Oryzias latipes: one gene and its partners. The protein of the gene in region 3 interacts with the protein of the main gene of each other region in a pairwise test. Links are inferred from orthologs where the notes say so. Each region holds a gene or a part of one and is shown on either strand. Other genes may lie near its edges. The genes, in order: lamtor5, akap17a and cep70.

Region 1 (7,111 bases), on a different chromosome or scaffold from region 3:
TCTCTGCAAGACATGTGCAAAAAGCGGGGAGGGAAAGTGGCAGAAGCTGCAGCAGAGCCCAGTTCTCCTGGGATGACTGTGCCATAACTTTGCCTCTATGCGCGGCTGCCGCTGGACTGCATCTCAAATCCCAGCCTCAGCATCGCGACAGTGGCCAACAGCCGCAGAGCGCAAAGCCTGCGCTCTTAACCGAGGGGTCACGTGACCAAGACGCACAGGCGAGCCCCATCTGAGGGTGCGGGTTGGGGGGTGGCGCTCTGCAGTTACAGCATCCATGGCTGTTCACTTGCAGGACAATTGGTTCTTCCCACCAAAACAACCACTTTAGTGAGCTCAACTTTCTGCTCCAAACAGAGAAATCTTCCTAATAAAGTCTTTGCATGTTTCCCTCTAACAAGTATGAGTTAAGAGGCTTCACTCCATGATTGTCATGATTGCCTGAACCCTGCTACTCTATTCAACTGTGAATGTCAACCTGCCAAGGAAAATAATTGGTAACCCATGCAGGCTAACGATGAAAAGAGACAGAGGACACCTCAAAGTCAAGTTAAAGTTTATTAAGAGACATATTTCTGTGAATGACTGTCCTGTTTTTTACAACAGCAATTTCAGGGAAATCCCCACAAAACGTGCACATCATATCAATGCAACTCCATTACAACTGTTTTAAATAGAAAACCACAATACTTAGAAAATAGTTTTTCTTTTTCCTGTTTTTGCCAAGATGCTGCAGAATTTTATTATGAATTCAAGTGAGCATCTCATCTTTACAATAAAACTCCAGGAAGTCCCGTTGTCTTCACGATGTAATTTTGTGGACGGCTATTGTGATTGTCCCGTGACTTCTCACCAGAATGTTTCTGCAAAAAGCAAATCAGAAATTAAACAATGCATTGGGGCAAATGTTCAGCAAAGTGAAGAAATCATTCTAGGTGATTGTAAATGATCAGTCAGACATAACATGCCAAGATTTTGGGTTGGCAAATGTTAATCAAATTTGCATCAGTCACACATTCACCTGTCCATATAACATCAGTCTACACGTGTGGAAGCAGCAGAAGAGCCACATTTCATTAATCATTTCTGAGCTCATCACATATAAAAATGTAAACATTTTTCCTTTGGCTTAGATAGAAAAAAGAGATTTTAGACACTATATTCATTTTTTTTTTATTTGAGTATAAATTGAGTTGGTAATTTCATAACTATATAGTTGTTGTTTTTGTTTGTTTGTTTGTTTGTTGTTCAGCTTCATTAGAAGTTTTTTTTTTTTGGTGTTGTGCTACTTAGACAACAGGATTGAATTCTATTTACTTGTGTTTTTGGTAAATTTCTAATTCCAAATGACAAAGTCCATTTCAGAGGTGGGAATTCCACTACATTCAATAGTTTAAAAGAGTCCAGAAGGTGGCAGCATAGTCCAAAAAAATAAATACTCAAATCCAGGTCTGCCTATATGATTATCCATGAGTCTAACCCTCACAACCACTTAATCCTGGATAATATGGTTTGTTTTGTATCTCACTGTTAAGCCACTTTGAATTAAATCATCCATTAAATGACTTAAATGTACAGTATTGAGGAGGTGGGGAAATTATTATATTCCAACATCCGGAAGTTCCAAAAGTCATGAATAGTATAGAGGAGCCAATACTCAGAAAAATAATTAGGCATGGTCTCCCACGTGACCAGCAGGTATAGAGGATGCTCATCTCTGCTGCACCTCTGTGGCACAGAAGTTGAAGCTGATTGCACAGCGTCTTGGAACTCTTATTTGTACACTTCCACATTTAAAACTACAAAGGCACACCTTAAATGCACTAAAACTAAGAAATAGAAGAAGTTGTGCAAAGGCACAGTCCATGGCTCACCCTGACTCGGACTCTAGGCACACAGTCGGTGTGTCCGTCAGGTCTCTGGTGAGAGCAGCTGCTTGTTTAGCCAGAACAGACACCACACCTCCATGTTCATCTGACAGAGATCCACGACCTAAAAAAAAAATATGTCAAAGACCCGCTCTGATGAAAATTGTGTTTTAAACATGTTCTTTTGGCATTTTTCTGATGATGGAGAACATATTCAAAAATGCATTTTTCAGGATTTGTTTATTCAAATCGTTGTGAATCAGCAGAATCCAGACTAGATCCATGGACGTCTTTGTTTTTCTCATCCGAGCAGTTATCGGGTTAAAAACTCTAGGACTGTATAGCTCTGATACTGCTCGCTATTTTTGATGTACCGCTAATGTTAGGCTTGGGGTCTGAAGGGCTGAAAGCTAGCAGGAGAGCATGTAAACAGTAAACAGATGAGTGACGACAAGTGGGCTTACTTCACGCCGACAGTCCTGCTCACAACTCAAGAGGTGAATTTTTAAAAAAACTAGTGCTGCTCTGCAGAAACTTTGTTCTGGAAAATGACTATTTTTTTTGGGTCAAAAACAGCTTCATCATAAATAAAAGACTAGGAATGCTTTTGAAATAGATCAAAAGATGATCAGAGTGGGACTTTAAATGATGACCTGCTTTAGATGCATCCTTCTGCTCATCAGATCAGTTCATTTGGACTGCAGTCTTTATTTAGAATTTAACTTTTTTCTTAAAGTAAATCTGATTTCACGTTTTTACAATGTCAGAGCACCAACAGTGTGATAATTTAACATGTAGCTTTAACATCTGGCAGCAAAGGTGTAATAACCAGCAGCAGATCAGACCACCACAGTGAGCCAGAATTCTTTGCTATGTTTGCTGGTCTGAACTGTTACTATCATATAATAGATCAAATCAGTTTGCCTCAAGAGGAAATTGTTACTTATTCAGTTGAAGACCCATTTTTAAATTATTCCGACTCAGGTCTTCAACACGGAAAACAGTCGATCAGTCATGAGAGCCAGGCATGTCCAAAGTCCGGCTTGTGGGCCAAATCCGGCCCCCTTTCAAATTTTCACCGGCCCGTAGGCTCCTACATAAAATCAACAGAACGCGTCCTGCAACAATATCTAAAAGCTGTGTGGTTGGCTAAATCAGACTTTATAAACCTGTGGAAACACTGTTGTGCGACCCTTTTGTGACACTCTCTAGCTCTTTAAGGGTCAACCTCTTAAAGGACAAATGGAAAATTTGAACATTTTTTCAGTGAAATATAAAACAACTGTGTCTGCCTAATGGGCCAGAAGACTGTGGCTGTTTTCATGGAGTTCAATATCAAGAGAAACTACCAGATAAGACATGCTAATACGACAAGCTAACTGTGAATGAACTGTGCAAAAAATATACAAATGTGACAGTAATTTTGGTAAAAACGTAGTTAGATGTCTGTTTTCTATGTGAAGACTGTCATGTAATCATGAAATGTCATGAAAAGTATCCCATTGCAGTATATTTAATTTAATGTGTTTCAAATAGTTCTAAGATTCACTGCAAATATGGGCCTCTTTGGAAAAAGTAACACATCCCGTTATGTAAGCAAAGGATGTCTTTAGGAGACAGATGTCTACACATGATCTGCACTGACCTAAACACTATGGGTCTTCTTTCTGAGTTACATCTTTGCCTCTCTCACTCACTGGCAACATTTCTCTAATGAGATTAAAGACTAAAACATCAGAAATAACAACATGATCTCTCATAAACAGCTGGCGGTGGAAACTTGTGTTTTTGGGGAAACTAAACTGTTGCGGGAATTTATTTATTAGCGAAACTGACGAACTAGAGAATATCGACTACGGGGTACTTCGTGAATAAATACATGTGATGTGACTTCCTGTTAACTCTGAAGAGTCTTACAGCCCAAGTTGTGTCCTTGTTGGTCCGTGCATAGAACCCCAACAACAGCTGGATTTTTCATGCTGCAGAAAAAACACGAAATCAAGAGAATTAGCCAAACGAATGTACGAAATGTAAAGAAACAAGCTAGTTAGCATAGATTAGAACTCACGTATCGTCAAGGTGTTGTTCGAGGGTTGACTCCATCTTTAGAAAACCGTAAAAAAATCAGAAAATGTAAAGTTCTATGGCCCAAAAATTGTATTTTTTGTTGTTGACGTTTGTTTCCTTAAATTCCTCCTGACAATCATGTGACTGTGACGTACAGTAAGAGACATCGCCAGGGTCAAACAAGACGAAGCGCGAACGGCTGAGCCAACTCAAAACTACAAAACAACCAACTAAAGACAGACTGATAACTGTATCTTTTAGTACAAATTAAAAATAATTGGTTTTCAGTAGAATAGAATAGAATAGAATAGAATAGAATAGAATAGAATAGAATTGACGGCTTAATTCAAATAAATGATTTTTGGTGTATTTTTTAATTCTTGTGACATTTTTCTGATGATGCAGGACACATAAAAAAAATAAGATTAAAATTGCATTTCTGAGTATTTCTTTATTCAAATCGTTGTGAATCAGTAGCATGTGCAAAAATGCCATTTGAAATATCCTGCAGATCTGACGTAGAAGCTACTACAAGCTACTACAACCAGCAGCATTTTCCATTATGATGGATTGGCTTGTAGATGACTAGATCCTTGTACATCTTTGTTTTCTTTGCCAGAGCTGACATCTGGATCAAAACGGTATGGCTGCATAGCTCCAATATTGCTAGCCATTTTTGTTGCATAATTTTAGGTTGGGGGCTGTGAGGGGCTGTAAACTGATGATAGGAAGCAGGGATTGGCTTAGTCCTCGCCAACAGTCCCGCCCACAACTCAGAGATGAATTTCTAATGAACTACTGCCACGCTGCAGAAACTATGTATGTCCCTGAAAACGACAAAGGTTTTTTGATTTAGCCTAAAAGCGGCATAGTTATAATTAAAAGACTACCGGTACTGGAAACACTGAAAATAGATCGAATGATTATTGGAGTGGGACTTAAACTGTTTATCTTACTGCAGTGCAGTGGCGGTTTTTGATATGGTCGATGTGGGCGGTCGCCCAGGGCGGCACTTCATAGGGGGCGGCATTTGCCGTTCCTGAGGCGTTACACATAATATGCTACATACTAAATTCAAAGAGGAAGCTTGGAGCTTTTAATTTGAAATTGCTTGAGCAGCCGACACTTAATGCTTTTATTTAGACACATCAGACTCTAAAGAATGTCTTCCTCCTATTTGCTCTTCACACTTATGGTGCAAAAAAAAAAAAAAAAAAAAAAAAAAAAAGAATACCTCAGAGTGAAACAACGTAAAACCGGCACATGAAAATGAATTAGGCAGAACAAACATCCGTGCTCAACCCAATTTCGAAAAAAGCAGGCAATGGAGATTATTTCCCACAATTCTTTGCTCCGACACAGCAGACCCGATGCGCACGTGACCACCGCCCTCTGCTGCAAGACGATTGCGGCCACACCTCTTTGTAGTCTTTGGAACATAAGTCAAAAAACTCGAGAGGGGAGCGCAGCTCGCCGGTGGCTGGCTGAATCACACTAACAGGTGATTGGGGGTCTTTTTCTATCTGACAATCAACTCTGAGCCGCAGCTGCGCGCTGTCGTCATGGAGACGGAGCCGCGTGTGTCAGAGGGAAGGGGAGGGGGAGGGGGGATTAGATCAGACCATTTTTTTAGGATTGAGTTTTTTTGGAGGATTTCTGCTGTTGGTGTTGCACAAATTTAGGGAAATGCCAAATATTTTTGGAGTAATCCCACTGATGAGTTCTAAGATTTAGTCTTTAATGTTCTATAAGACCTAAACATATTAATCACAATAAGTTTTATTTTTTAGATCTAATCCCTCAGATATGTTTCACAGAGACACACACAGGACGTCACACATTAAGAAATTATTGCTAAAAATGAAGCAGGAGTCTAGCTCTAAAAAAAAAAATGCTCTAAAAAATGATGAAAGAGCAAAAAAAAATGGAATTATTTGATATGTAATTTCTTATTAATATTTCCAGGCTTTCTTTGTTTTGTTCTGCAGCATGTTCATATTTGTATAATTTTGACAGAACATATTTATATGGAGAACAAAATATTTCAAGTTATTTAAGGTTTAACTTGAGTTATTCTGGATTAATGTTCCTGTTTTTATTAATATTTATGTTCAAAATGTTCAGTTTAAAAGGTTTAAAAGTTTAGCTTTAGTGTGTTCAGTAAATGTTTATCTTCTTCGGCCCAAAACCTAAAGCGTGTTTTTAACTTAGGCCCCTGTGTGACTGAGTTTGACCCCCCTGTAATACGAGTCTAGAAAATTCATGCATTTTTTGAGTAAAATGGCTAAATAGAAGACAGGGAACACAAATTTTGTATGTGTGCGGGGGGGGGGGGGGGGGGGCGCTGGTGGGGTTACTCGCCCAGGGAGTAAGTTAGTGTAGAACCGCCACTGCTGCAGTGGTCCCTTTTTTATTTTTCTGTTTTTGCCAGTCCCTTTTCAGGATTCTTAAACCCCAACCGATCACAACAGATTGTTACCCAATCCTGAGTCTTGTTCTGTTGGTGGTTTCTTCTTCATCTTCCATTTAGAGGGAATTTTCCCTTTTCCACAGTCACCTGTTACTTCCTTACTATGGAGATTACACTGAGCAGCTTTTGATGTTTCGCTGTTTGTCACTTACAATGGCCTTAAGTGGACAATCAAGATAATTCTAAGATATGGGAATGATTTAAACTAAATTTGATAATAACTTTATATCTAATAAGGTTGATGTGTCTGAAGTGTATTGCTTTGTGTGGTGCCTTGAGAACATATCTGTTGTTTACACATAAATAAACATAATATAGCTAAATAAACGTTTAACTAGCTTTAAATAAAGTACACCAAACAACATATAAAAACAATAAAGATGCAATAATGAGAGCTAGATAAAAGTAAAAAAAAAAAAAAACAGAGTAAAACCAAATTAAGTTCCAAATTTATTTACTCACCAAAAGACCACATATTACTTAAGAGGCAGATTTTACACAGCTGATAGTTAAATACAGTGATGAATAATATAATAGCAATTGTATCATTGAAAGTGAAAAAAAACAAAACACCAACAGCATTCTGTGCATTTAAGCACCATTCATATACTTTTAGACCAGAGGTGGGCAATCTTTTAGACTTGTGGGAAGCAAAAGGGTTCTAAAATTTTGTAAGAGCGGCCAGACCAGGAGCAGATAAGTGGCATGT
Region 2 (5,747 bases), on a different chromosome or scaffold from region 3:
TTAAAAATCCACATATAAATTAAGATAATATGGTAAACATGACGCTTTTTTTCAATCTTCCCCTTAACTTTTTATAATATTCTGCACATCTCTATAAAATGGTTGTAACTTTTGATCTCCTTTAACAGATCAAGCTAATTAAAAGGGGGGAAAGTCTGTTGTGTCAGTGTGTGCGAGTGCATCTGTGTGTTCTGACCTTGTCCTTTGTCGTGGTGGACGATGAGCAGCTGTAGACCAGCACAGGCAGCCAGCAGCCTCTGAGTGCCATCCAGACTGGCCCCCACTGCCTGACTGATCTCCTCTGCAGACAGGGGTTGCTCTGCTTTCAACAGCACATCAAACACACCCAGTTCACAGGAGGTAAACACCGTCTGGGTCAGACAGGGAAGATCAAGACAAGGAAAGTACAGATTGATGAATAAAATTGTCTGTGTAGTTCTGTAGTTTTAATAAGTCTTAGTAAACACATATTCTCTTTTGGTTTATTCCTCTTTTTTTTTATTTGACACATAACTTGAAGTGTTTGTGAAAAGGTAATTTTTTTACCAAACTGTCAAGAGAGACAAAATTATTTTTGATAAAATAATACTAAGATTAAGATTAAGATCAACTTTATTAATCCCTGTAGAGAACTTCAGTTGTAGTAGCAGCACCATAAAATAAATACAAACTATAGGGAGGAAAAACTCTTATATACAGGTACAATATTGACGCTACAGATTAGGATGCCTCATCTTGTTACTCCGGCAAAAAAATAAATATATATATAGTTTGCTTCCTGCTTTACTGCAAAAAACCCAACCAGTAGGTTTAGGTTTTAGGTTCACATGAATAAGCACGCTAAGCAAAACCACTCCTTTAGTTTTATTTATCCTATACATCTACTTACACAGATGAAAGTATGTCAGATCAAAATTTAAACTGTAGGATAGATTTTATTTTAAAAGGAACTGGTGTGTGCTCCTGTCAAAAGTAAAGAAGTTATTTGTAGAGGAAAGGTAACCCGTGAAATTCAATTACTGCAAATATTTAAAACCTACATTTTATAATAGAATAGCATAATGCTCACAAAAAGATAAATAAAGTGTATTTTTCTGAACGTTGAGGCGAGACTTAATAGTTCTCGCTGGGTTTTGGTCAGTAAGAAACTGGACTAAGTGCCTCTTTATTTACACTCAATATACCCAATGAAGCAAACTTCAGATGTATTATTTTTTTTTCCAAGGGTTGGCAGTGAACTGATTAATCTTAGCAATAAATGTTACTGTCTTTCCATCAGTGCCATATCATGAACTAAACAGAGAACACTGGAGTGAGCAAATGCCACAGAAACTTTACCTTTGAGATCAAAAAGCCTTCCATGTACTCCAGGATTTTTTTGGGGTACAGGTCTGCAGCAGGAGCCCCTTGAGTGGAATGTGATGCCATAGATGGGCCAAAAATCCACTAAAATTAAAAACAAAAAAACAGTAGGTTTTGTTTCTCCAAATTGTTGCTGAAGAGAAGTCAGTGCAGCAGCCCTCAGTGTGACTGGCAGTGCTGAGAAAACCAGACTGAGCCTAAATCAAAGCCCACCCAGCAGCAATAACAGTGAGAGTTGCAGTGGGCTAAGCTGATTACAACCAGATAACCCAGATTAGAGCATGGACTCAGTCTGACAAAGAAACAACTCTATAAAAACACTGCGGCCTTGTTTATTATCCCTGAACCCACTGCTTTTCACCAAGCTTTCCCAATTAGTGCCTCCTCTTGTTCGCCGTTTGTTTTCCCCAACAAAAGAAAAAGTTCACCATGTACGATTTACTTGGGTCTGTGATTACTTATGCAGAAAAAAAATGTCCCCATGTTTTACATAAATACATTTGATCTCACATGAATGTCATGACACATATGCACAAAATGAAGTTTAGTGGTAACAAACTACAAATGACCCGTTTTGAGGTTATAAAAAAAAAAACACTAAAAAAAGCAAGACACCCATAAAGACTTGTCAACTTTGAAAACGTTTATTTTTCATAACCAGCTTGCAGTGTTTGTAAGTCATGCTTCACGGGAGAATTGTAATCCTGCAGAACAGATGGGTCTTTGTAGTGAGAAAACTTTTACAGTCTGTTGAGCCGCATCACTCTAAAAACCTGAAAACAGAACAACATTCAGACTCGACTCTGTGTTCAACAGTAGATTTTCATTTTAATCACTTTTGTTCCTCTTTTCACATATGGACAGAAAAAAAGGGCACACGTGTCTTCAAGTCTCTTCAAAATAAAAGGCTTGTTCTGAAGCCGATTCTTCAGTCTATAAGTTACAGCTTCATCTTTTATTGTGTACAACAAAAGGAAATAGCAGGTTCTAGAAAGAAAGAAAAAAGACTGAGGCTTATAGAATGAAAGCAGTTTCTTCAAACATCTGCAAAAGTCACAAAACAAAAACCAAAAAGATGTCGGAGTAGTTCCCTTTGACACCTTCATCACCTATACTTTGAAGCCTAAAGCAGTAAAATGACATGCTGGGTCTTAAAAACGCCACTACAGCTGTAGCAGCTCAACTAAAACAGTTGATAAAAAAGGTCAAGAAATTCTCACCTCCTTTTTGGTTTAATACAGACAAAACTGTTTCCTAACAAGTCTAGAGTGGAGTTTTTGTTAAAAAATATTCACCAAAGCTTTTCTTTTTTTCTGTTTGCTTTGCTGCCGTCCTGAAATGTGTTCATTCACATTTTTACATAACATAGATGCCAGAAGATTCCTTACGTTAGAAGCTTCAGCTGAGCAACAGAACAACTGAGTAACTTTGTAAAACGGACATATTTTTTTATTATTTTTATCTACACCCCTGACATTCATAAATGTAGGCTTGAGATCCTTTTGTGAAGTTTGGTTGAATTTCTTTGCATTCTGACCTAAGACACTAAACTTTTCTGTTTGAAAAGCGGCTCAGCGTCTCCTGGAGTGGCTCCTCTTGGTGCTGCCGCTGCGTCTCTGGTGTCTCCTGTGATCTCTGTGCTGACTGCTGCTTCTGGATCGCTGTCTGCTGTATGTGTGGCGACTCCGCCCGTGGCTCCTTCCCCTGCTGCAGCTCCTTCCCCTGCTGCTCCAGCTCCGCTCTCTGCTGGAGCTGGTGCTGCAGCGTCTCCTGCTGCTGCTCCTCCTGTGGCGGCTGGAGCTCCTCGAGCTCCTTCTCCGTCGGCTGTGACTCTGAGAGCGCCTCTGTCTCCCTCGACTGTGCGAGCTTCTTTCTCTGCGTGAGTGGCCTCTAGTTTGTTCCTTTCCATGTCTGTTTTTAACCATTTCTTCGTGTTTGTCATTTGAGCTCTTCTTGGACAAAGTTTTTGATCTAACACTAGCCTCAGATACTTGCTTCTCTTTGCCGTTTCCTGGCTCCAACCCGTTCACTCGACCCAGGACCTCCAGCATCCCACAGTGAGGATCCGAGGCCTCTTCGCTGCCTTGTAAGCCAGCCGGTTCCCGTACGACTCCGGCGGTTTCCTCGCTGCTTTTCTTAATGAGGTTGGACAGAAGTTTGTCTCTCAGCTCCTTTTCTCTACGTTGGAGTTCCAGCGCTCGCTGCTTCTCCACCTCCACCCTCCGCAGCTCCTCCTCCTGTCTGCGCCGACAGGCTTCCAGCTGCTGAAGGCGAGCCAATTCCTCCTTTTGTCTGGCCTGCTCCTGTCGCTCTTGCTTCTCTCGTTCCGCCTTTTCTTTTTCCTCCTGATGCTGTTTGAGTGTCTGAAGGGAAGGACGAGACATAAAGAAAACCATCTGTGCTGTCAAAACAAGGGCTGTGAAACTCCGGAGGGGGAAAACCTGTGCGAGTTTCATACCTTGGCTCTGGCCAGCAGCTCAGCAACGAGACGTAAGGATTCCAGGTTGCGCTGAGCCAGCAGCAGCCTCCTCTCCTCCATCGCGATCTTCATCTGCAGCTTCTTCTGCTCCTCCTCCTGCTGCCGCCTGACCTTCTTCACATTCCTCCTTTCCTCCTTCTCCCGTAGCTTTTGCTCCCGCTTCCTTATCCTCTCTTCTCTTTTTCTCTCCTTTTCCTCCTCCTCCATCTTTTTCAGTTTCCTGAAAAAGCAATCAGTGACACGGATATAACCCTGTTTTTGGTGAAAGTAGACTGAATTCTAAGAGGGAAAAGAAAAACTACAATTTCCTGTTCCTGTTCAGGAGAAGATGAGGGTAAATATTTTCTTAAAATTAAAATTAAAAAAAAGCAGAAGGAAGAAATGCAAATACATTTTTTGACATAAGGTTGCATGTGAATTCATTTACTTTTGTGTTTAATGTGGCCATACTGAAGCCTCACCAGTCTAGATGAACTGACCATTCCCCTGTTTTTTACCATACCTCTCTTCCTCCTTTCGCCTCTCCTCCTCTTCTTTCTCTCGTCGTTTCTGCTCCTCTCTCTGCTTCTCCAGCTCCTGCAGCTTCAGCCGCTCCAGGTTCCTCTTCTTAATGGCCGCGTCACTAAGGTGTTTGCTGGTGTCGAACGTCACCTGAAAGGAATAAAAACCACATTTAACATCATTTAACGATAAATATGACTGTTGTGTGTTTGCTAACCGAGGAGTTTTGGGCATTTATGTACCGGTACCTGCAAGAAACTAAAAGATGTCCGCCTTGATGAAATGTTGAAGTATGAGACCAAGAACATTCAAACTTTGGCATTTGAAAACAAATATATGCATTTCATTATCTGTAATCAAAGTTGCCTTTTCTGGGGTCTTACATCAGTTTAAATCCCACAGCTTTAGTCTCTGGATTAAACCACTTCAGTCTGCCGCCAGCAGAACCTCAGAGATACTGATGACACAGCTTTCATTCTGATGGCAGTGAAAGGTCTTAAGCTACTCTGTCACTCAGACCAGAACAATCTCTTTGATTCAGCCTGCAAATGTTCATCATCACTGCAAGAGCTGCATTTAATCAGTCATGTCACAAAATAAGGAATCATTAAAAATAAACAGCTTTTGAAGTAAAACCAAGACTTTCACTCAAAAATGATTTACGGTATCGTAGACTTTTAGATATTTATGGAGCTTAGGTGATAAGTCCTTCATATCATTTAAAAACTCCAAAAAGAAAAGCCTTTCAGTCATTTATTTGCTTACATGGAGGTGAAAACACCCACTAAGTTGTGTTTAAGTACAATAGACATGAAATTAGCTATAAATGTGTACATGAAGTAGCCATTAGGGGGGTTTCTCAACCCTTCTGGGTAAAGAGGACAGCCTCTAACACCAGACTCTCAAAATAGGACAATTCCATTCTATGATGCGCAGTGATTTACAAATATTTAGCAGAAAATAAAAGAGCTGAAGCCAAAGTAGCTCATTTAAAGTGTGCTCATGATTGTAGGGTAAAGAAGTTCTCTACATTTGAAGATAGAGTACCTTGATGTTGCAGGCCACTGCCTTTCCATCCTCTCCTTTCAGCATCAGCTTCATGCCGCGGAGCGTATCCATGGCTTTTGTGAAGAAGCCATACTCCTGATACTGGACAAAAGCTTCAAAGTTTAGGTGGCCTCCAAAGCTGAAGGTACTGAAGTTTTTGTCCATCATCTCCTCCCTATAAGGGTCCAGCATGGGGATGTCAACATTGCGCACCTACAAAAACAAGATTACACAATATTTCTGGTTTATTAGTTGAACCTTAAAATAACTTTGATCGTCTTAAGAATAAAAGAAATAGTGAAGCAACTAGATTCAAACAAATGGAAGGGATAACTCCTTCAAAATGAGTTTCATTTAG
Region 3 (6,615 bases):
TTTCCTGGAAGCTGAAGAGGAAGATTGGAGGAAGACCAAAGGGAATTATTGGTCCACCTGACAGGAAGTTCATTTAAGCAAAGACTTTTATTGTCTTAAGATGCCCAGTTCAAGATTAAAGCTAAAGTGTTTTACCAAAATAAAAGTCTGGGTCAAAAAACGTCACGTTGGCAAAAAAAGACTTCTAAAAAATCATTTAAATCAATCAATGTAAACATAAAATATTAATATCCATTTCAGCCAAAGAATCAGATTTTTCTGAGGGAAGATTGATAAAATACAAACGTTGAAGCATTTATCTGAAGTGGGATCGGTTGAGTTTTGAGGTCACATGATCTTTTCTTGGCTTCCTAAAGTTCTTCAGAAACATCTCTTACTTTGAAGGATTTCTTTTTATCTTTAATGAGGATAAAACCAAAAGTTGCCTCTAAAACAGTCTTTAGGCTTATCTTTTAGGGTCCGGCTCTCACCAGGTGGCGCTGTCCTCCTCAGGTGTTCCCACAAAAGGAGAGGCGCACGCAGCTGGAGGCGGAGCTAGACTCCAGGTGGGTGGAGCTCCTGCTGCTCCTCAGGGTTCTGCTGGGAGGCTGATCCTCACGCTGCCTCTGTTCCTCTGCAGACCGACCCGGGAGCAGCCGAAGGGCCGCAGACGGCGCCACCTGGAGGGGCTGCAGCCGGGCGCCGCCAGGTACGGCGGCAACAGAAGCTGTGGGCTCTGGACTCTCTTTGGGATATTTACTCATAGAACTGGTTATAGTCCATTTTTATTTAGATTTATTTATTTTAGATTTTTTTAAACCACATTAAGTTGTAATTTGATCATTTGGGGAAAATAATGACAACAAAAACGACCAAAAACAGTTTCCACCTTCATTCTATTTGCATCGTTTTGACTTTTTACTGCTCAAATGATCCAAATGAATCTGTTTTAAAGAGAAACCTGATCAAATCATTGGTTTTGATATAAAATATTGTCTTCCTATCGTTCTTTTCTGCTCCTTTCAGGCTACAGAAACATTTAGTTTCCCTAAAATACTGTTGGGAGCTGAAAAAAATGAAATCTTGACAGACTTTATATTTGAACGTTTTTGTCTGAAGTCTAAAGCTAGGGACACAAAAACACTCGCTAAAGGCATTTGGGGTTCACACTGGACCAGCAGGGAGGGGCTTCTTCTACTCTTTACCAGCGCATGTCGAAGTGGTGCAGATCTGGCGATTTCAGCGCAAAATGGTTCCGTTTCTTGCTAGTGCCCTCCGTACGCCGAATAGGGATTAGCGTCATGTAAGGGGAGGGGCCTCTTCTTATCTTTGTTTAAAAAAACAAACGCGTGTCGTCGGGTTTGCGATAAACCAAGTACCCTGGAGTTTGGCGGGGTTCTCCACGTCTGTTTGACCTTAACACGTGTGTAATGGCCGTGCCTTTAGTTTGAAAACTGTCGTAGGAATTTGTGTAGCTCCACGTGAACGCAAGAGTTTAGAACGCAGGAGCTGAGACGTGGACCAGCTAAGGACCAGCTGAACGCAGCCTAAAGGTGGTTCTGGTGGAGTTCTGTTGGTTGAGGGTGGAGCTCCTCTGCGTGGTGACGGACAGAGGAGGAGCTACCTACGGTTATTTTCCACTCCTTTCTTGTCTCTGCAGGTTGACCACAGTGGGCGGAGCTAAGACAAAGGGCGTAGAAGAACCTCCTAGGGAGGTCTGGCTGTGCGCTCAGTTCCGAACCGTGAGCGCTCTTCCCCCGGTCTCTGTCCAAGCTTCACTCTGATGTTTTCCTCCTTGTTTTACCGTCTCCTCCCTCTCTCTGCTTCCAGCTGCTGTCTGACATCAGAGCGGTCATCGGGAGCCCCGCCTCCTCCAAAGAGGCGGAGTCAGAGCTGGCTGACTTCCAGGCGCTCCTGCCGGTGTTGGAGGACTGGGCTGGCCAGCGCCGCCTGCTGAAGGTACGGCGTGGTTCTGGGGTTTCCGCGGTGAGGACGTGCCGATGTGTGACACTGCTGTGTCTTCAGGACCTCCGGGACCTGCTGGTGGACCTGTCAGGCGGGCCTCGAGAGGACTCTGCGGCCGCGGTGAAGGTGGAGGACCTGATCGTGCTGGTGGAGGACATGCTGGAAAACGCATCCAAAGACCCTGAGCAGGTCTGCCGGTCTGCCTGTGGGTCGGCGCTGGTCCGAGCGTCAGGTTCTCACTCTGCTCTGTTCTCCAGAAGCTCCGGAACTCCGCCCCCTACACTCTGAGCGCCATAGTGTCCCACTTCCAGAAGCTGTTCGACGTTCCGTCCCTCAGAGGGGTCTACCCCCGCATGAACGAGGTCTACACGCGGCTGGCAGAGATGACCAACGCCATGAGGAACCTGAAGGACGCTCTGGACCTGGGTAGCTCTGATCCCGTCCGTCCGGCGGCTGGTCTGCGCATTCCTGCAGTCACGCTGGAGTCTTTCTGATTGCAGACGGCAGAGCGTCGCCTGCGGAGGTGGTGAACCACGTGTCTGCGCTGGCGTCTGCTCAGCAGTCGGGACTGCGGGACCTGCTGGAGGAGGCGGACATCGACAGGTGAGCACCTGCAGCTCCAGAGTGGCGCTCGGCTGCTTCCCCTCTTCACGCCGTTCTTCTTCCTGCAGCGTCATCCTCAAAGTGAAGCAGCACGACGAGTTCCTGCCCGCCTTCCACCGCCTCATCACCGACATCCTACAGACTCTGGGTGAGGGTGAAGCTCTGATGTTCTCGTCTCATTACTGAACAGCTGCTGGCTGAAGGAAGATCATCTGCTGTCCTGTTTGTGCTGCAGGTGTGACTCACCTGGAGGAAATCCTTCCTGCTTTGAAGTCTCTGCAGCGTTCTGCAGCCTGATCTCCCGATTATTCCACAAAAAAACCACAGGAGAATAAAACCGTCTCGGTTCCTTCACTTCTCGGAAATTCTTCTGTCCTCCACTAAATACCTGTGGGACATGACCAAAGAGCTGTCAATTGACCCTCTGGACATGACCAAAGACCTGTCAAAGGACACTAGGGACAGGACCAAGGGGCTGTCAAAGGACACTAGGGACATAACCAAGGGGCTGTCAAAGGACACTAGGGACAGGACCAAGGGGCTGTCGAAGGACACTGGGGACAGGACCAAGGGGCTGTCAAAGGACACTAGGGACAGGACCAACGGCTGTCAAAGGACACTAGGGACAGGACCAAGGGGCTGTCAAAGGAAACTAGGGACAGGACCAAGGGGCTGTCAAAGGACACTAGGGACAGGACCAAGGGGCTGTCAATTGACACTAGGGACAGGACCAAGGGGCTGTCAAAGGACACTAGGGACAGTACCAAGGGGCTGTCAAAGGACACTAGGGACATGACCAAAAAGCTGTCAATTGACACTCAGGACATGACCAAAGACCTGTCAAAGGACACTAGGGACAGGACCTAGGGGCTGTCAAAGGACACTAGGGACAGGACCAAGGGGCTGTCAATTGACACTAGGGACAGGACCAAGGGGCTGTCAAAGGACACTAGGGACAGGACCAAGGGGCTGTCAAAGGACACTAGGGACAGGACCAAGGGGCTGTCAAAGGACACTAGGGACAGGACCAAGGGGCTGTCAAAGGACACTAGGGACAGGACCAAGGGACTGTCAATTGACACTAGGACAGGTCCAAGGGACTGTCAAAGGACACTAGGGACAGGACCTAGGAGCTGTCAATTGACACTCGGGAAGGAATCAAATAGCTGTCAGAGGATACCAAGGGCTGGGTGATATGGCCTATAAATATATCTCTTAACATTTGTTTTTCATTCTCATTTCATTTAGACACAAAAAGTACAGAAAATATTTAACAAAAACTCTTATTGTTACGTTTCCTTTGTGAAATAAACACGAATGCTGGTAGAACATATTGGCCTGTTTTTAATGAGCTGCCGCAACTTTTTGTTGTTATAAATATGTTTTATTGTCAAACTGTTTGAATTATGGAAGCATTTTTGTATACAGAAAGTCATTATGGTATTTAAGGTAAATTAAAAACAAATTTTGAACATTTTTTTGTAATTGTGTAGTTTTCTGTGTTTACCATTCTTCCTTTCTATATTCTTTAGCTAAGTGGCCTAGTAGTGGAGTGTCTGCGTTGAGATTGGATGGTTGTGGGTTCAAATCCAAGCAGCTCCATCTAGAATTAAAATTTGAGATTGGAAACAAAGTTGAGGTCAGTTTTCTTGTGATTAAAAACAAACAACAAAAATTAAAGTATTTTTAAAATTTTATCAGAATTGTGAAGGATTTGTACACCCCGGTATATTTTTTTCACGCTCTAATAAAACAAAAAAAGGAACGGACCAATGAGTTCTATCGCTAGAGGAGACATCACGTAGTTCCTCATGGGAGGAGAGCACCGCCATCTTGGTGAGGTCAAGTCACTGCTGCAGTGCATGCATGTGAACACATTTTTTGACAAAATGCCAGTTCATTGTGCAAGTTTCAACTGCCAAAATCGAAGAAATTAGTCCATGAAGGAGGAACGCATAACGTTTGACAGTTAAGTCTTTTTTTTTTTTTAAAGCTGCAGGGGCATAAGTAATAGTATAAGTGTTTTTTTAAAAGAACACATGTTGACATGCATGATGCTGTTGGGCTATTATCAACATGCTGCATTATACATATAATTTGCTGTCGACATAAATGTAAACTTTGTGTTAAACTTATACAGTATACAAGGACTAGGCTAATATAGTTATATAGATTTCTACATTCCTGACTCAGTGACTGAACTTTTCTTGCAGGTTTCAATGGATTCAAACTTAAGGAAAAAGTGGGCCTTAGCAATAAAAAGAGCTAACCCAGATGGATCACTGTGGTACCAACTAGTAATACAGTCTGGCTATGTTCAGAACATTTGTGGAAACACATTTTTATAAGACTGGTTGAAACCCGACACCATACCATCAGTGTTACACAAACTTATCACTCACATGAATCAGTAGGTAAATCTATATATATTTTTCTAAGGGTAAATCTGTTAACTTTTTATTTATTGTTGACTTATTATTTATTATCATTGACTTATTATTGATTAATTGTTTTCATTTTTTATTATAATTGACTTATTTATATATTTTTATTTATTATGATTGACTTAGTATTGACTTATTGTTGGTGTTTTATAAATAATTTAAATTACATATCAAAGTGGTCTAAAACTTCTACATGTTTAAAAATTAATTTTAAAATTCTTTGTTATAATTTTTATTTGTAAGAAGTCCTGCAATTATGCATTTTTCATTAAAGTTTGAGCTTTTAAGGCTGCCGGTTTCTCTTATATATATTTATATATATGTAAAAATATATAGAAATAGAAATATATATGAATTATATAAAAGCTACTTAGATGCCACCAAAAGCTATAGAAATCATTGTCATGTGGGCGCCATCGACCTCACCAAGATGGCTTCACACTCCGCCACCGTCCGCCAGGCTTTCCAAGCGGGCGTGTCTCCTCTTGTGATATAACTCAATGGAACGGACGTCTCTGAGGTCAGAGAGCGTTCTTGTTTCCGCCCGGACATTTTAAAAGTGACGCACACAAAACCATGGCGGCCAACATAGAGCAAATCTTCCAGGATTTTATTTTGAAAAAGATCAGAGAAATTGAGGATCAAAGCGAAGACCCCGCGTACGTCACTTTTGTCTTTACCCGTTCGAGCTTTAGGATCAAGCGTTTGGAACGGAACTGCGCATGCTCGCTGCCGCTAACAGGCTTCAGCCGAGAAGCTAGCTGTAGCGGCATGTTTACTCTTTCAAAGCGACCCCGGTGCCGTTAAGCGATGTCCGGACCGGTTCGATCAAGTTTGGACCCGCGGAAAGATGCAGAAAAACCAGACATGATATTTAAGAAAAATATAGCCCCAAAGTGCAAATAAAACCATATGTATTATTTCTAAATGAGGGAGACAGCAGTACTATTTTATGCTAGCATGATGGGTAGTTCTAACAATGATTAGCCTTTATTCCGGTATAGATGCAATCATGAACACTGATTTGATCTGCTGATTGGATGCTGGAGCAGCTCCATCCCTTTGGAGGATGCTCTCCTCTTCATCCTGTTCATCTGAGGTTCTCCTTTTCTGTGTCCAGCAGCGGTACAGAAGAGGGCAACAGGGGCGACGGCGAAGGGGCCAAGGCCGACGGGGCCCCCCTGGCCCCAGAGCAGCAGAGTTCCCCCCCAAAGAAACAGAAGAAGCACAAGAAACACAGGAGCAAGAAAAAGAAGAAGAAGAACCGGGGGGAGCGGAGCAGTTCAGAGTCTGGAACCGACCCGGAGAGGAACAGGTGCGGTTCCAAACTGAAAGGTTCCTTTCTGGACCATCGTCCCGTTTTTCTGAACGGTTGACGTCTGAGTTCTCCGTGGTCGTTGGGACATTAAACTGCAGTTTCCTTTTTTCACAGGAAACTGACATCGTCGTCTGAAAAAAAGGAAGCAGGTAGGAAACCATCATGAAACGTTGTTACGGAAACACCTGAAGGGTTTCCCTTCTTTTGACTTCTGGAAGAACGAATGAAACCTAAACGTGAAGCCCAGTCCAAACGTCAGATTTGATCAGTTTTCTGTCTGTTTTATACCAAAGCTAGTTTAGTGAA

Evidence for each region.
Region 1: the proteins of cep70 (region 3) and lamtor5 interact in binary tests that used the Homo sapiens proteins (3 or more experiments, as listed by UniProt). The two-hybrid records come from large-scale screens. The link is inferred for Oryzias latipes from reciprocal best matches to the Homo sapiens genes CEP70 and LAMTOR5.
Region 2: the proteins of cep70 (region 3) and akap17a interact in binary tests that used the Homo sapiens proteins (3 or more experiments, as listed by UniProt). The two-hybrid records come from large-scale screens. The link is inferred for Oryzias latipes from reciprocal best matches to the Homo sapiens genes CEP70 and AKAP17A.

The regions. Positions count from the first base shown.
Region 1 is NC_019865.2:10,896,084-10,903,194, forward strand, and holds lamtor5 (ragulator complex protein LAMTOR5), read right to left. Parts: upstream 4,108-7,111; 5' UTR 3,969-4,107; coding exon 3,934-3,968; intron 3,845-3,933; coding exon 3,783-3,844; intron 1,990-3,782; coding exon 1,872-1,989; intron 861-1,871; coding exon 800-860; 3' UTR 537-799; downstream 1-536. UniProt on the Homo sapiens protein: As part of the Ragulator complex it is involved in amino acid sensing and activation of mTORC1, a signaling complex promoting cell growth in response to growth factors, energy levels, and amino acids.
Region 2 is NC_019879.2:18,190,672-18,196,418, reverse strand, and holds the end of akap17a (A-kinase anchor protein 17A), read right to left. Parts: intron 5,603-5,747; coding exon 5,390-5,602; intron 4,493-5,389; coding exon 4,344-4,492; intron 4,062-4,343; coding exon 3,821-4,061; intron 3,726-3,820; coding exon 2,934-3,725; 3' UTR 1,991-2,933; downstream 1-1,990. Other genes in the region: asmt (acetylserotonin O-methyltransferase), read right to left, coding at 197-371, 1,339-1,428. UniProt on the Homo sapiens protein: Splice factor regulating alternative splice site selection for certain mRNA precursors. Mediates regulation of pre-mRNA splicing in a PKA-dependent manner.
Region 3 is NC_019860.2:1,152,223-1,158,837, reverse strand, and holds the end of cep70 (centrosomal protein of 70 kDa), read left to right. Parts: intron 1-492; coding exon 493-545; intron 546-619; coding exon 620-688; intron 689-1,639; coding exon 1,640-1,721; intron 1,722-1,809; coding exon 1,810-1,938; intron 1,939-2,004; coding exon 2,005-2,133; intron 2,134-2,201; coding exon 2,202-2,370; intron 2,371-2,444; coding exon 2,445-2,547; intron 2,548-2,615; coding exon 2,616-2,695; intron 2,696-2,782; coding exon 2,783-2,844; 3' UTR 2,845-4,024; downstream 4,025-6,615. Other genes in the region: protein SON, read left to right, coding at 5,568-5,650, 6,112-6,306, 6,424-6,458.